Stegostoma tigrinum: one gene and its partner. The protein of the gene in region 1 purifies or fractionates together with the protein of each later gene. This does not show direct contact. Links are inferred from orthologs where the notes say so. Each region holds a gene or a part of one and is shown on either strand. Other genes may lie near its edges. The genes, in order: zeb2b and mta2.

Region 1 (3,911 bases):
TGTGAAACTCCATAAACTTGGTTTACATTTCGACAGAATCCCCCTTAACCAGGTCATTTTGTTCAAACAATTTATAAATCCAGTCGTTATAACGAAGCAGCTTGAGCTACCCTTAACCATTGATGTTGAAATAATTACAGGAGTTAAAAAAGAGACATCTCGGGAATCAAGACTTTTTCAGATCTCTAGGGAGCTCACTTATATTTCGTTACAGAAACCACAACATCTCATAAATTGTACATGCTTAGGAAAAGATCTCAGCGTCCCTCCCATTCGTGCGATAATAGAGGACGGGCTTCGATGAATTATCAATCCGATGTCTTATCACCCTCTGTCTGCTGATTGAAAACTTAATTAACCAAACAGGAGTTAGCGACATGTCAGAACGCTTGGGGCTGTGACAGAGCCAATGGTAGCATTGCGGAGGCTGAGCTTTTTTGGACTAACGGTGAGAAGCAGATATTCGGACAAGTACAACCAGTCAGTAAAAGTAGGGGAAAAGCGCACAGACACAGTGGCGCGGATAAACGCACATGAGCACTTACAAACATAAGGCATTTGGCAACCACACCCCATAAACCCAAATCTATGCGCTGCTTCATCCCAACAACCTCACGAAATCCCATCCTTGTGGGTCGTGGTTAAGTTAAAACCAGGTATTCTTTTATTTCCCATGTGAATTCGTCAACTTAATGCGTTAACCCTTTGGCCGCCAGTGCGTTTCACACCGCCCAATGCCCACACCCATCATTTTTAGATCGGTTACTTGGGGTTAGAGGGTCAGAACGGTGGTTTGAATAATCTTAAGAGTTTGCTGTTTAAAACCAAGTCCTTAAAGATCAGGATAATTAAATTGCAAATCACAAGACACTGGGAGAGAACAGTCTACAAGGGCCATTCCTAAAAAGACTCCCACGTTTTGCTTGAAAATCAAAAGTTCCCACGGTAGAAACCCATAAAAGTTTTTTTTTGTGAAGAGGTTATTTCGAGTGTCGCATTCTGTCGGGTCGGAGACGAGCTGAAAAGTTGGACATTTCAGGATTCGGACGGAGTTGGCCAAACAAAAAAAGACGCGAGCTCCCAAACTTTCGGTTAAATAATAAATGTTATTGAAATAAACATGTGTGCGTTTGGAGCGGGGTAGAGGGGGGGGAGAGGTGATCTGTAAAAAAAAGAATCAACCCCGGTACTGATCCCGAACGCCAGCCTCATCTGGTGAACATAGCGATGCATCCAGCTCTCCCGCTGCCTCGCCTCTGTGTATTGAATAGGAGTTGGAAAGGACTGGAGTTTTTTGCTTTGACTCACTGAGCAGCGCGGGGCTGTGTGATCAGGACATTCAGATACAGCTAACCCTGTAAGAATGCCATTTCAGGATTACGTCGATCGAGGGAGAGAGGCAACTGCATTCCCACTGGTCACCAGCCTTCCCCCTTGCCCCGTCCTCTCTGCTGATGGCTGTGCATTGAAAAGGTAATTTAATCCAGATTCGGACTGGACACTCAGAGGGAGAGAGAGGGAGAAAAATGTTTGAAAACGTCACATCTACCGATGATCACGTTTACGGATCTTCAATTATCCCTTACCACGAAGATAGGTGGCGTGCGTTTCTGGGGCCGCACTTCAGGGACTCTCTTTATAGAAAAATGTCATTCCAACAAGCGGAACACGTCAGTCCGTCCACAGGTTGTGTTTCCTGGTGTGAGAGACAACGGAGCGATCAGTTCTAACCTGCACAGCAGGAATAACGGTCCTTCCTCAAGTCTTTAAGGGTTTCTTCTTTTCCCTTTCCTTTTAAACAAAAATCTCGCCTTGATCTTCATGTTCCTTTATCTGCACGCTGTCGACCTCCCAGCAGTCTTACTGAACAACAGAGCCAGGACAGAGCAGGTATTTTAAACATTTATCTATCTATTTACAGATTGAGATTTTGTGCGCAGGTATTGTTGCGCGAGTGGAGATGAACTTTAGAGATTTTTTTCCCAGCCGACCCCTCTCTGATCCTGCCTGCATTTTAGGCGCAAAACTTTGTTCAAGTACCTGACATCCAGGTGTTAGAAAAAGGTGCTGAAAGGGGGCAAAATGAAACATGCCCGTTAACTGATATGAATCTTCGCACTAAAATGTCAGTTTTTAATTTTCCTTCCAGGACGCGTGTTTCTGGTTTTGTGATTTTATGTTATTTTTAGTGAGCAATAGGTTATTGAAAGGAACCGTTACCTGCAGAGACAGCGCCTTACAATGTGTTTGCCCCTCATTGCAGCTCCAATGTAGATCGGAAATTTCGAGAGATTAGACAAAATCGATAGATGTTTCTTAATTCTAAACGATTGATTTCAGAAAAGGGGACGCGGTTTGTAAATATACAACCGAGTGAAACAGTCCGCGTCCCCAGTTCGCTGTGAATACGTTTGTTGCCAAAACTTTGAATCGTATTTTGAACTGAGTGGTGCTTCCACTTTTGTGTGTGTGTGTGTGTGTGTGTGTTGGACTCTCAGCTTTAAGGAAAGGAAAACTGCGAACTTATGGACTGGTGGGAGGGGGAAGGTGGTGGCGGCTGACAAAATTCAATTAGAATGGCAAAAGAAAAGTGAAAGGTGGGGTTCGTGTTGAAGGCGAGTTTATGGCTAAGTGTTTTCTGCCCAGAATTCAAGGGACCGGGCGATGTTTCAAGTGTACTTCATTGTGTAGGAGCAGCCGTAATTGCTTATTTCCCCCTTTCACTGAAATAAGTAAAAAAGTGCAGTTGTGTGTGGCACACTGATGGCATTTTTCACTATGACATGCTTGGTCGCTTATGTGAATTTATTACATAAGCTTAGTCAGACTGGCCATTTTTTGAGTGATCTTATACTCTTTGTTGCTGTATGCGTTTTTTTAATTAATGTGGATTGCGGTCGGACTTTCATATCTACCAGGAACAGGAGTAAATATCTGCACATTGAACGTATAGTTTGTGTGCGCTGGCCGCTTGTTTGATGCGAACCTTTTTTTTGGAACAGCGCCTGGACTGGCCCCCCCCACCCCCATTTTTCGTTTCGGTTTGAATTCACAACAAAACGTTTATAAAATGATCATTTCCTGCCCTGGTTTGCCTGGCGTAAATCAGTTGTGTGTGTCCTTTAATTTTTTAAAATTTTTTTTTGAAAAAGGACATCTGTAAATTTGGGGGAATTACCACAATCATGTCATATCACAGTTACACTTTGCCTACATGAGCCGGAATCACCTTTAATCATCGCGGGTGTTTGATGCTTTGCGTTTTGTGTGTGTGTGAAATGAGGATTTGTAATAGCTGTGTTTTTTTTACGGGGAGTGTTTTGAAAAAGTAAATAAAAAGAGGCAGAAGTGTAAATTCCAGAGAGGGCGGAAATGCATAGATGACACCGAGTCTGATCTCAGCCGGCACCGTTAGTTTGCCATTCAACACCTCAGTTTGCAGACGTTGCTGTAGTTTAACGATCCCACGTTTCCTACAGTCAGGAGGAATAAAAATCAAACATTTTTTTTCTGAGAGGTCCTGCAGAGCAGTTCAATGCCGGTCCTCACGCCCAACGAACGGTACCATCGAACGTCCTGCTTTCCGCCTCTTCCCCCATCTCGTAAGTCAGCGTTCCCTTCCCTCCGACAAACAAAAGAGTAAAAAAGTCAACAAGAAAACAAGCCCCCGGAGGTTGGAGTGGAGGGTGGTGGAAGGGAGGGGGGGAGGAGGAGGGTGAGAGGAGGAAACAATCGCCTTGTTTTGTCTCTTTAAAAAAAACATGAAAAAGAAACAGATGACGGTGGTCTGAGCCTCAGCTGTCTTTCTGGACAGTCTGAGGCACTCCGCTCCTGTGCAGTTGGCCCCCAGTTTGTGAAGGTTTTAGGGGATAGAGTTAGGGCTCAGAGTTAACGATGTGCGTGTGTAACCG
Region 2 (3,911 bases), on another chromosome or scaffold:
ACTGGGTGGGGTGGATGAGGGGTGTGGGGTGGGGGTGGAGTTGGGACTGCGTGGGGTGGATGAGGGGTGTGGGTGGAGTTGGGACTGGGTGGGGTGGATGAGGGGTGTGGGTGGAGATGGGACTGGGTGGGGTGGATGAGGGGTGTGGGTGGAGATGGGACTGGGTGGGGTAGTGAGGGGTGTGGGGTGGGGGTGGAGTTGGGACTGGGTGGGGTGGGTGAGGGATGTGGGGTGGGGGTGGAGTTAGGACTGGGTGGGGTGGGTGAGGGATGTGAGGTGGGGGTGGAGTTGGGACTGGGTGGGGTCGATGAGGGGTGGGGGTGTAGTTAGGACTGGGTGGGGTGGATGAAGGATGTGGGGTGGGGTGGGTGAGAGGTGGGGTGGAGTTGGGACTGGGTGGGGTCGATGAGGGGTGGGGGTGTAGTTAGGACTGGGTGGGGTGGATGAAGGATGTGGGGTGGGGTGGGTGAGAGGTGGGGTGGAGTTGGGACAGGGTGGGATTGGGAGCCTGGGGTGGAGTTGGGACCAAATAGGGGTGGGGCTGGAGTTGGGACTGAGTGGGGTGGATGAGGGGTGTGGGGTGGGGGTGGTGTTGGGACTGGGACTGGGTGGGGTGGTGAGGGGTGGGGGTGGAGTTGGAACCAGGGTAGGGTGGATGAGGGTGTGTGAGTGGAGTTGCGACTGGGTGCGGTGGTGGTGGGGTGAGTTGGGACTGGGTGGGGTGGATGAGGGGTGTGGGGTGTGGGGTGGGGGTGGAGTTGGGACTGGGTGGGGTGGATGAGGGGTGTGGGTGGAGTTGGGACTGGGTGGGGTAGTTAGGGGTGTGGGGTGGGGGTGGGGTTGGGACTGGGTGGGGTGGAGGGTGGGGAAGAGTGACTCCCGTCGCCGGCCCCGCGCGTGCGTCCTGGTGACAACCGCCAAACGTCCCTCGCGCACATTCCCGCCTCCGCGCCGGCTGCCGCGCGCTCCCCCGACTGCGCGCCGGGCAACGTCACGCCGCCGCGTGCCTGCGCTCACTCCGAGTGCGCACCATCGCGTCACTCTGTCGGGCGCTCGCGCTCACCCCAAGTGCGCACGCTCGCTTCACTCAGGCGCGTGCCCGCGCTTATTCCGTCCGAGCACGTTGCCGCGTGACTGCGCGTTACCTCCCCTCTTCGTCCCCCGCCGCGTGCCCGCGCACTGCCCTCCTCCCCCCCTCCTTCCCTCCCCCGGTAGGGGCTGGCCCGGGAGGGGGAGGGAGGGTTCGCTCTTTCCCCTCGACAGAGAAGGAGGGCCCGGAGTAAGAGGAGGAAGAGACCTCCCTCTCCCTCCGCCCGTCTGCCCGTGTCTGCTCCGGGAGGGAGGGACGGCGATCCGCCAGGGAGAGGAGCTCGGCCTCAGGGAGAGAGACCGGGAGGGCGACATGGCAGCCAACATGTACAGAGTGGGAGGTGAGTGAGTTGAGTGAGTGAGTGAGGGTGGCCGGCCCGGCGCTCAGCCATCGCTGCCTCTCTCTGTGTGTGTCTCACCGGAGGAGGGAGGCTGGGACTGGGGACAGAGAGCCTGAGAAACAACAAAGTGCCAGGCAGCAGCTATAAGCCAAACTTTACAACAAGAGGCAGACATGGAAGAGGAAGACAGCAGCTCGAATCAGTGCACCAAGGTGGCGGGGTGGTGGTTTGGGCTCAGACTACAGCCGGCAAGTAGGGGAGAGGGGCTGAGAGGCCGAGGGGGCATGGGCGGGTGGAGGCAGTTGGGGGAAATGTGGTGGCCAGGGACTTGGGCATGTGGGTTATTGGGAGCCAGGGGCCATGGGGGATGGGCTAGGGGGCCCAAACAGGACCCATGGATAGGGCAATGTGGTGGGTTGGGGGCAATGGCCAGATTGAGGTAGTTGGGGTGAAGGGTCATACAGGGGCTGTGGATGGGCGGGGGTTCGGCAATGGGACAAACAAGGGCAAGGTACAAGCAGGGTAAACAGAAACCAGGGCTAAAAAGCCCACTGGGGCAGAGGCTAGGGTGAGTGGCCAAAATCTGGGGTGAACTGCAAACCGAGGCCCAAAACAGGGGCCAGGTGTTAACAGAGCTTTGGGGGTACAGGTTAGCATGGGATTTGGGGATCAAGGCAATTGGCAAACTGGCACCAGAAATAAGATTACAAGCAACTAGGATTTGGGGGTTGGGATGTTAATTGAATCAGAATTTTAGATTTTGGGTAGTTGGGTGTGAAGGGCAAGCCAGGTCTGAACTGGGACAGGATGGGGCGGGGGAGCTCAGGTAGGGTTTTGGGATCAGGCCAAGGGATAAGTGGTGGCTTAGTGGGTCAAGGATTGGGACACGTGCGGAATTCTTGTTTAGAGATCAGACAAGTGAATGGAGAGGCAATGGACAAGTGGTATTGTCACTGGACTGTTAATCCAGAGACCCTGGATAACATTCCTGGGACCTGGGTTCGAATCCTGCCATGGCAGATGGTGGAATTTGAATTCAGTTAAAAATATCTGGAATTAAGAATCTAACGACCATGAATCCATTGTTGATTGTTGGGAAAACCCATCTAATTCACTAATTTTCTTAAAAGAAGTAAACTGCCAGCCTTACCCGGTCTGGCCTAAATGTGACTCCAGACCCACAACAATGTGGTTGACTCTTAACTGCCCACTGAGCATTTAGGGATAGGCAATAAATACTGCCTGGTCAGTGACACCCTCATCCCATTAACTAATGATAAGAAAAAAGAGTAAAATGTCCAGTGATTATGAGACGGACAAGTCAGTGTTTGGGAATGGGGGCGAGAAGTGATTTCGGAGCTTTGGGATCACAATAAAGGGTGAACATTTGGGGACTGAGGTGAGGGACAAACTGAGGCCAGAGACCAGGGCGAGGGCAGTCCAAGATGAGAGGTGCACTCAAGTTTGGAGGTGGAGGTGATGATTAAGTTGTGGGCTTATGATTAAAGTTAGGAGTAAGTCAGTGTTTAGGGATCAGTGGAGGGCTCTGTGGTCAGGAAACATTAAAAAGAGGGTCAGCATGTAAAGGTGCTGAACAAATATTTGAAATTGAAATAAGGATGGCATAATGACAAAATTTGTATGATAAGCTAAAGAAGGATTTCAAACACAAGAATACTTGCCAAATAAAATTAGGTAATAGTCAAAAAGGGGTTTGGAGGTGGGGGTATGTTGTCAGATTTTTGTAGATTTTGGCAGAAGTTCAGGTTGGGGGAGGGGGTTTGGTGGGCATGTTTAGTTGTATACCTCATTGGGATAGACCTGGCACAAGGAGAGTTGGGTTCTCAGTGATAAGCAGCAATCAGGAAATATGAAATAAAAGCCAGAGATTAGAGGCTAAAACTGACAAATGTATACGTGAAATTCTTACAACATGCGGGCAAGCTGAGGAAAGAGGTGAAACTGCTGGAATGAAAGTCGAGATGAGTCAGGATAGAGGCAACAGCAGTCATTTTGGGGTGGGAATAATAACATACAGTCAGGGATAAAATGGAAGGAAGGAACATTTCAAGGTTTAAAGATCAGTGGATCAAAAAGGCTCTGATGTTGTGTGGAGTAAGAGCTAAAAAGAATCAAGGATGTATCAAGCCAGAGCCATACAACTCCATGACCACTGTGTTTGGGGGTTGGGGAGCATGTGGAGGTGTAGTTTGTAAGTTTTGTGAACTGAGGTTGACTTTTGAAAGGTTCCTGTCTAAAATCCCAGTCAGAAAAACAAGATGCAAATTCTCTGTTCAGAGCAGCTGTGGCCCTAATAATGTACCAAAAATCTCTCTCAACCAACTTGAATCCTGACCAAGTACAAGAGACTGCTGAAGGACCAGGGACAAATCATAGTTGGGGAACTTAAAAATTCACCTGGTATGGACAACTTGTCAAGAAAACTTGTGGTTGGGTCGCGGGTGCTTCTGAGTCGAGGGG

What was found.
Region 2: the proteins of zeb2b (region 1) and mta2 purify together in Homo sapiens (affinity purification with western blotting; 3 studies listed by BioGRID and IntAct, with this or other methods). This does not show direct contact. The link is inferred for Stegostoma tigrinum from reciprocal best matches to the Homo sapiens genes ZEB2 and MTA2.

The regions. Positions count from the first base shown.
Region 1 is NC_081360.1:80,650,306-80,654,216, reverse strand, and holds the start of zeb2b (zinc finger E-box-binding homeobox 2b), read left to right. Parts: upstream 1-1,276; 5' UTR 1,277-1,890; intron 1,891-3,424; exon of another isoform or gene 3,425-3,602; intron 3,603-3,874; exon of another isoform or gene 3,875-3,911. UniProt on the Homo sapiens protein: Transcriptional inhibitor that binds to DNA sequence 5'-CACCT-3' in different promoters. Represses transcription of E-cadherin. Represses expression of MEOX2.
Region 2 is NC_081395.1:3,149,758-3,153,668, forward strand, and holds the start of mta2 (metastasis-associated protein MTA2), read left to right. Parts: upstream 1-1,318; 5' UTR 1,319-1,402; coding exon 1,403-1,430; intron 1,431-3,911. UniProt on the Homo sapiens protein: May function as a transcriptional coregulator. Acts as a component of the histone deacetylase NuRD complex which participates in the remodeling of chromatin.